Saccharomyces cerevisiae S288C: one gene and its partner. Changing the gene in region 2 together with the main gene of any one other region gives a genetic interaction. Each region holds a gene or a part of one and is shown on either strand. Other genes may lie near its edges.

What was found.
Region 1: mutations in PHO81 (region 2) and YNR068C together harm fitness more than expected from each alone (negative genetic interaction), as found in Saccharomyces cerevisiae (one large-scale study listed by BioGRID).

The regions. Positions count from the first base shown.
Region 1 is NC_001146.8:759,450-763,054, forward strand, and holds YNR068C (uncharacterized protein), read right to left. Parts: upstream 1,437-3,605; coding exon 618-1,436; downstream 1-617. Other genes in the region: BSC5 (Bsc5p), read right to left, coding at 1,674-3,143.
Region 2 is NC_001139.9:953,850-959,793, reverse strand, and holds PHO81 (Pho81p), read left to right. Parts: upstream 1-1,583; coding exon 1,584-5,120; downstream 5,121-5,944. Other genes in the region: NAS6 (Nas6p), read right to left, coding at 5,148-5,834. UniProt on the Saccharomyces cerevisiae protein: Inhibits the kinase activity of the cyclin-CDKs PHO80-PHO85 and PCL7-PHO85 under low-phosphate conditions.

The DNA of each region.
Region 1 (3,605 bases), on a different chromosome or scaffold from region 2:
AGGGGAGAAAAAAAGAAAAGAAAGCCAGATCTTTCAAAAATATGCCAGCAAATACCAAATTGGTCATAAAATAGCTAGCACTCCGCTATCGAGCAAGTTCTCTTGGCAAGCAGGCTTATTCTATTCTTTTGCTGAAGGAAAGGCCAGTTCTATGCTTATAACCTTAAGTAGGAAACATATGCGCAGCTTACAGCGCATAAAATTGATGGCAACCCATTTAGTGGTACTATTCCTGCGTTATTACTAGTATGGTCGCTTTAAAGAGTGGTAAGATTTCACATTTTCAAATCTAAAAAGCAAAGTTTATCACTTGAAATGTACCTCTCTGTGGGCTTTCACTACCTTGTACATTTTCTTAGCAGTTCCGTACATTTTTTTAAACAATGAAAATTCAAAGTTCTATGTATAGAGATTATTTAGGTTTTTAGTACTTAAAGTATTTTGAGAATACCTTGGCAAACGCAGAACAATCGTAAAAGAGATTGCTACTGCGCACTGTTTCCTTGCTTTATCACTTTCAGTTCTGCAAGAACTAAGGTGTTTATCAGTAATGATACTGTAATATCAATAGCGATAAAAACTTCGTCAGTGAAACCATTCTTTTTAACAGCCATCTATCAAATAAAAGAGTTTTTAACTTGAACTGGGATATCAATTTCAGCAGATCCAACACCTTTATCAAAATGAAGTTTTACGCGGAGGAAATATGACCTCGAGCATAAACAACTTTCAAAACTTGGCACTATGGTAGCTTTAAAATCATCATTATATTTTATATTCAATAACAGTGTTCTCTTATACTCAGTTGAACTGACCTGATTCCATTCATTTGATTTCCGATGTGAAAGTACCGAATGGTGATAGTTTGATGGGGAGGTTTTTTTATTCCTAGAAGTTCGAGGAATTATGCTGGATATAGGAGAAGAAGCAACAGGCACACTTTTCTCTCCAACCAACTTCGTTTTCAACGCATTTTTCATGACAACAACATTGGCTTCCATATTGGCTAAAACCTGTACGTCCTTAATTATACTCGAAGGCATTAAATCAGAAAAATCGAGCGATCTATTACGCAGGCTAGCTCTTGCGTCATCGGCAAGAAGTAAGTTTATTTTTGTTTGATTTTTAGTGAACTCATCGCGATATGCTTCAATGTTTTCCAAAATTTCCTTAAATATTTTCTTAATTTCATTGTATTTGTGCTTCTTTAAAAGTAAATCACTGTGGAACCTCACTGGTTTGCAATCTTTTGTGTTCGTTGTTAAGCAAATCAATTCCGTCTCCAGACTACTGATTTCCGGTGGGTCATGTGGAATACTATTAGCAGCTTGCATACATACTAGTTCAAGCCGTAAATTTTCTAGTTTTTCTCTCTCTTCAACGGACAATAGACCTCTTAAATTAGTCCAGTTCTTTTGATTCTGCCTGTTTCTCATTGAAAATACATTTTGTTTTTGAATTAGATTTGGACACCAATATGGCAAAGCATTACTAGGGGGCTTTATTTTTATTGTTATAAGCCCAATTTTCTCTGAGTTAGTCTTTGAAGTGGGATCATCTGGTTGAGATGAAGGAATATTACGCACACTTTTGAGAAACACATTTTTCAGACCTGTGTTGAAGAGAGATGCTATAGAGTAAGTAATTTCAGTTTGAATTTTATCTTCTTCAGACTAGTGTTTCTTTTTAAGTGTTCCGTTTTCAGTATTTCCAGCTACCGCGTTCCATTCATACTTACCTCTTAGGGGTGATAGTTGATCAGAGCGATTCGCCTCCTGTATGTCCTCCTTATGAATGGGAATCGCTCGCTCTATTTTAGAAAAGACTTTTTCGATCATTCCAAGCCTGTTTGCAATTTCAATATCGAAATCCTCTAAGTCTTTGAGGCACTTCTCCCTACTAATTGGATTGTTTTGAAAGCCAAATGGAACTATCCTTATGCTATACTTTTTTTCACTCATTAAACAAACACGCCCAGAAGCTACGTCTTTGCCTACTATCATAGCATTTATTGAGTAATTTATTAAGCTGCCACTAGAACTGTCGTTTAACCATAGTGAGGAACCTCTTTCTGACAAACGACCATAACCTAAACTCTCCGAAAATTTTAGAGTAGAAAGCTCTGGATGAGAACTCGATGGTCTATCAAACCCTAATGTAGGGGGCAAAAGAGAGTGAGAGAAGTGACCGTGCTTACAGGTTACGTCTAATAACTGGTTCGGAATTTTAAAAGTGAAAAATTTCTTACGTTTATCACCTGGATTTAGTATCCTGCTATTCGGTAATCCAAAGCTTGTTTTATCAATGGAGTCAAAAAATCCACAAAGGTCTTCCCCCGTGTTCACGTCTTCATGATTATATGACCAACTCGCTGCCATATCTACCATTCTCAAAATTCTTTCTGTCGTTTTTTGGATTCCAAAGGGTGACTGTGTTTTTGAACTTGTCGTACCTTCCAAAGTTAAATAAAACATATCGAATTTTATAGGTTTGGTTGATTTGTTTTCTACAGTGAAATAACCGTGAATTATATCCCCAGAGGTGTATTCCCTTAGCATGCTCTCGTGTTTAGGAAGCTGTCCAAATTTTGGAGCCGTCTTTGTGACGTACAATTCAGTCGCTATGGGGGTTTTAATCCTAGGCAATGCGTATATATTCTCAACTGGGATACCTTTAGTATCATCATAATTACGAATTTGAGACTCAGCAGGGCCGGAAGCAAACCGGCGGCCATCAACAGTCACTTCATGATTATCTGGGCCAACGATATCACCGGTAAGAATCCGCATATCATTCCCAGACTCACCTTCCGAAGGAATACTCTGATTTCGGGAAGCAACCTCATAAAAAGGTGGATTCTCCGGAAAGTATGTATCGAAACTAGATTGAGGTATATTGCTGAGCAAATTTTCATACATTTCGAATGACGGCAATAGTTCTGGAAGGACAAAGTCATCTTCCTGAACATTCGTTATGCTCGAGCAGTGATCTCCATTATTGCATGCGAAAGCGTCTTCTTCCTTTCCTTGGGATGTTCCACATCTCGGTTCCTCGAAGGAGGTTCCTCCAAAGAGTGTGGATGAAGATGAAGATATTCTTTGACAACCTTCAAATTTATTTTGTGGTTCTTTTGATTCTTGCATAAAGAAAAAACTTGATTATTCTTTAGTCTTCCAGACCAGCGAGGCTATTTAGTTCTATTAGATTGATATACCAAAGCGACTATGGAGCAAGTTTTACAATATCTGTATGATTGGCTGTAAATGCAAAACTAATTGTAGTAAACCAACAAGTGCTATGCTCTTTAATCAAGGGAAGCATTTAAGAAGTGATGTGATCATATTTTGTACAATTGGAATTGCTTCCCTTCTATAAGTGTGAATTATTGTTCATATCTTCCAAGGAAATCATTTAAATGGCATTGCTTATCTACTGAACATTTAGTAAGCAAAAGTGAAATTTCTAGGGGACTGTTCGCTAAAGCTGTGCGCGGTCTAAAGAAAGCGGTAAAGATAGATAGCATCTAGTCCAATGAGACGAGAAAATATATAGATGACTCATAGAAGATAAAGTAGTCCTAAAGAATAGTGGTGCATCTTCTTTAA
Region 2 (5,944 bases):
ATATATATATATATTTCCGTGTGTGTACAACATATTTCATCAGTAGTCTTGTACTTGACCACACACGGAACTGAAATGAAACTTTAACGGCAACAATTCAATAATAGTTGCTCTTAGATCTCCGTACAAGGAATGGTTAATTTCCGTATTTTCAGGTGGCATCAATACCATAATGTGTGAGTGCCAGCAAAAGATAGTTTTACAGGCGGTTCCTGCATTGCTTTCTGAGAGGGATGATCTGAAAACTATCCGTCGAAGACGCATAAGCGCGTCCGCTATTTTAGTAACGATTAGTAATCGAGCATTTAAAATTGACATTATTGGATAAAAAGAATACGTTATATCGGCCGGAGGATCCAACTTTAGTAGAAATAGAAAGATTTGCCGCGCAGACTATCATTTTCAGTTTAAATCCTCCACAGTATCAGAGTAGGCATCAAGGATGCCTTCCTTTGCTGGTACTCTGGGAAAATGTACCAGTTGGCAACGCAGGCGAACCAATAAACGAAGATTTCGGTCATTTGTTTTGCCGTCTGACCTTCTCAATTAGATTATGTCTTGGCAATTATACGAAGCTTGTGATTTTAAAAATGAGCCATGAGCTTGTTCGGAGAAGAGTCGCCTAAGGTACAGTGTGCACAGTTTTGCTTTTCAACGATGAATGCTTGAGCGTGGCGAAGAAAACCTTGCGGGCTTTTCGAAAATGTAAGGAATAAAAATGAAGTTTCCTGATTTATAAGCAAGCAATCACTGAACGAGAATATCTTGTAGTTAAGTGACTATCAAACGAGCATGAGGGTTACAAAGAACTTCCGTTTCAAAAATGAATATAATCGTACGTTTACCTTGTGGCAGCACTAGCTAACGCTACGTGAATGAACGTACCGTGCCCTATTATTCTTGCTTGTGCTATCTCAAGAATTGCATTTTGTAATAACAACTGCATGGGAAAAATTATATAGATTTTCTACTATTATGTCCGCCTAAGTCAGTTAACCATCTTTATCACAAAATATACAATTAACCAACTACTTAATCAATTCGGTTATATTGCTTAGTATATACGTCTTTGGCACGCGATTGAAACGCGCTAATTGCATCAGCCTATCTTTCTATGCAAGAATGCAAGAAAAATTGATGTGATGTGCCTTATCACAATTCATTACCTCCTATTTCCTCTGCAGCAACAAGTTTCCTTGATTATAAAGGTCTTTAGCGTGAGAGGTACAGGTGTTATGGCACGTGCGAATAAGGGCAGAAATTAATCAAATTTATCAACTATTTGGCGATGGCTCGAGACAGGTATAGAACCACTACTAGGTGATATTGAGGCTTTTGTACAATTTATAGCAAGTTTTTGAGAGTCCCTTCAAGTTTGTTACATAATCTTCTTTGTGCAACGTACAAGAGCAAAGTAGAAAAATTTGGTTTTTATTTTTTTAAGCAACATCAGCTGCACTAGTTGAGCTTTTGACAAGACATACTGCTCAAAAAATCTTCATAACATTATTTTTCGGTTCCACAGTGATTGAGCTTTTTGAGAGAATAACCCTTTGGAGGCAACATAGATAGATAAACGTGCAATGAAATTCGGCAAGTATTTGGAAGCCAGGCAGTTGGAACTGGCGGAGTACAACAGCCATTTTATTGATTATAAGGCTCTAAAGAAACTTATCAAACAATTGGCCATTCCCACGCTAAAGGCTAGTTCAGATTTAGATTTGCATTTAACATTAGATGACATCGACGAAAAAATTATACATCAGAGACTGCAAGAAAATAAAGCTGCCTTTTTTTTTAAACTAGAGAGGGAGCTGGAAAAAGTAAATGGTTATTATTTGGCGAGAGAGTCCGATTTAAGAATAAAATTCAATATATTACACTCAAAATATAAAGATTATAAGATAAATGGTAAGCTAAACTCAAACCAAGCTACCTCATTTAAAAACTTATATGCGGCTTTCAAAAAGTTTCAAAAGGATCTTAGAAATTTGGAGCAGTATGTTGAGTTAAATAAAACGGGATTTTCAAAAGCTCTGAAGAAATGGGACAAGAGATCTCAATCTCACGATAAAGATTTTTACCTTGCTACTGTTGTTTCCATTCAACCAATTTTTACCAGAGATGGGCCACTAAAATTAAACGATGAAACTTTACATATTCTCTTAGAGCTGAATGATATTGACAACAACAATAGAAGGGCAGACATACAATCCAGTACGTTTACTAATGACGATGATGACGACAATAATACCAGCAACAATAATAAACACAATAATAATAATAACAATAATAATAACAACAACAACAACAACAATAATAATAACATATTACACAATAATTATGAATTAACAACATCAAAGATTTCGGAAAACCAACTTGAACATCTTTTTCAAGCATCTTCCTCCTCCTTGGACATGGAGATGGAAATCGAAAACTGGTATAAGGAAATTTTGAATATAGCCACGGTGAAAGATGTTCAAAGAAAGCATGCACTACTAAGAAACTTCAGAGAAACCAAGATATTCACATATCTGCTACAAAATTCCTCAGAATCTTTTCATAAAAATGTCTTTTCTTTGTTGAAGGAGTGCTTAACGACGCTGTTTTTATTACTGGTGGCTAGTCCTTTGGACGATAACTCTCTGCATATTTTCTATAAAAGCAATCAGGATCATATTGATCTGTCATATTGTGACGAAGATGATCAAGTATTTTCACGAAAAAACGTATTTCACGAGGCTGCAAGTTGTCCAGAAAAATCACGCTTATTTATTCTAGATGAGGCTTTAACAACATCAAAGTTATCTAAAGAAACAGTACAAAAACTACTGAATGCCCAAGATATACATTCGCGGGTGCCGCTACATTATGCTGCAGAGCTAGGAAAACTGGAATTTGTTCACTCGTTGCTAATCACCAATCTTTTAGAGGACGTTGATCCCATTGATAGTGATTCTAAGACACCCTTGGTTTTGGCTATCACTAACAACCACATAGATGTTGTTAGGGATCTGCTGACTATTGGTGGTGCGAACGCATCACCCATTGAAAAGCCAATTCTGGATTATAGTAAGAATGTAATCAGCTCTACTAAAGTCCAGTTCGATCCTTTAAATGTTGCTTGTAAATTTAATAATCATGACGCCGCCAAGTTACTTTTAGAAATTCGGAGTAAGCAAAATGCTGATAATGCCAAGAACAAAAGTTCACAACACTTGTGTCAACCGCTTTTCAAAAAGAACTCAACAGGTTTATGCACTCTTCATATAGTGGCAAAAATTGGCGGCGATCCACAATTAATTCAACTATTGATACGTTATGGGGCGGATCCCAACGAAATTGATGGGTTTAATAAATGGACGCCCATTTTTTACGCTGTTCGTTCAGGTCATTCTGAAGTTATTACTGAACTATTGAAACATAATGCACGTCTGGATATTGAAGATGACAACGGCCATTCGCCACTTTTTTACGCCTTATGGGAGAGCCACGTTGATGTTTTGAATGCACTTTTACAAAGACCATTAAATTTGCCATCTGCACCCCTGAATGAAATAAATTCGCAGTCTAGTACGCAACGCCTTAATACAATAGATTTAACCCCAAATGATGACAAATTTGATTTAGACATTCAAGATAGCATTCCGGATTTTGCTTTACCACCGCCAATCATTCCACTAAGGAAATATGGTCATAATTTTTTGGAGAAAAAAATTTTCATCAAATTAAAGTTGAGGCCAGGTCTCGAGTCTATCAAGTTGACTCAGGATAACGGCATTATTATGTCATCATCACCAGGCAGAATTACTTTATCCTCAAACTTACCTGAAATAATACCGCGAAATGTTATTTTACCTGTTAGATCTGGCGAAATTAATAACTTTTGTAAGGATATCAGTGAAACAAATGATGAAGAAGATGATGATGAAATTAGTGAAGATCATGATGATGGAGAGATAATTTTCCAAGTAGATTCAATCGACGATTTTTCAATGGATTTCGAGATATTTCCTTCATTTGGCACAAGGATAATTGCCAAAACAACGGCAATGCCATTCCTTTTCAAGAAGGTGGCAATAAATAGTATTGCAACCATGAATTTACCCTTATTCGACACAAGACTAAATAATATTGGATCTCTCACTTTGGATTACCAAATTATTTTTCCTTATCCGGGAAATCCACTGAAAATCATAAATTATGAGCCGTATTGGAAATCTACAGGAAGTGATTTAATGACCTCTAGTAAAGACGGTAATTTTGTTACTTCTTCATCGTTGAATGGCAGTTTTATTAGTGTATTAGTTTGCGCTCTGAATGATGAAACCATAGTGGCTGCGCCAAAACCATACGTTGAATTCAAAGGCACGAAGATTCTGTTAAATGATTTAACGAAAGAACAATTGGAAAAGGTAGTGGATTATGACTTCGGTAAAATTGATGGAAGCTTCGATGAAGTAACATTGAAACAATACTTATCTTCGAGAGTGGTGCCTCTCAGAAGCCTACTAGAAGTTATTCCCGGGTCAGCCCAGCTGGTAATTCGTGTATATTTTCCTACAGATAAGGAAATTGACACAATTCCCATCAAAATATCGCCATTTATAAATATCAATCAATTCATTGATAAGCTTTTACTAATCATTTTCGAGCATGAACGTTTTTTGCGTCACAGCGGAAGTGGGAGTATGCGCCAAATAGTTTTCAGTTCATGCAATTGGGAAGCTTGCTCGATCCTTAACTGGAAACAACCCAATTTTCCGGTTTTGTTGCAAATGAAAAATCTACTCAGAGATTCAACCACAGGCAAATTTGTAGGTGATACTCCTAATTGTTTAAAGGAACTGGCCGTAAATCCTCAAAAAATGTCGTATTTAAACACGGAACTAATAAACATACATACAATGGTTCAATTTGCTATGAACAATAATTTGTTAGGTGTAACGCTTCCATATGAAGTACTGAAGATATGCCCGTCGTTGGCTAGGATCATCAAACAAAACGGACTACTGTTGATTGCATCGGTCGGGGAAAATGACCAAATACCAGCTGATGGAGGTTACAGCGGGATCTACTACGCTTGTGAGTTGCTTTTTGAGAATAATATTGATATGTAAAGTTCTGTAATATGTAGTTTTGAAATCTTATACATTATTTAGGAAAAACTTTTTAACCTGTTCATTAAGGGCAACATCTTCTGCCTTAGCGCCTTTATTATCTACAAGATCATATTCTGCACCATACTTTTCCACCAACAATACAGCTGCGTCACCGTGCCCTTCAGCCAAAGCATGAAATAGTGGGGTCCAACCCTGCTTATCCTGCCAATTTACAGCGCTTTTGCCCAAACCGCATAATAGTTCAATTAATTTCAAAGAACCCACCGACGCAGCTCTATGCAATGGAATTTGATTAAATTTATCTTTAATTCTTACGGACGCACCATTTTCAATTAAAAATTGGGATACTTCAAACCATTTCTTACCAACTGCCAAGTGCAAGCATGTAACTCCTTGATTGGTTATCTTATTTAGATCAGGCTTTAGAGGTCTGTCGTAAAGAGACTTTACCACCTCCAAATTCCCCACTGAACAAGCAATATGGAAAGGTGTCCATCCAGAATCATCTGGATAATCATCTAAGTTAACATTTTCCATTTTAGAAAGCAAAAAACTGGTAATTTCATGTGCTTGGAAAGAAACTGACCAGTGTAAAGGGATTCTGCCATCCTGGTCCTTCTGTAGCAACAAGGAAGGTTTGGAGTGTAGCAGCTCTTGTACCTTGAAAAACTCATTTTCCATGCAGGCTTGATGCAAAGGATAATTAGACATGGTTATACAGTTTTAAGGGCATGCATTTATGTAGCATTTATTATCACAGCTTCAGCTGATCGTTCTTTAAAGAACCCTTTTATGAAGGGCCCTTCGATCATACTTGACAG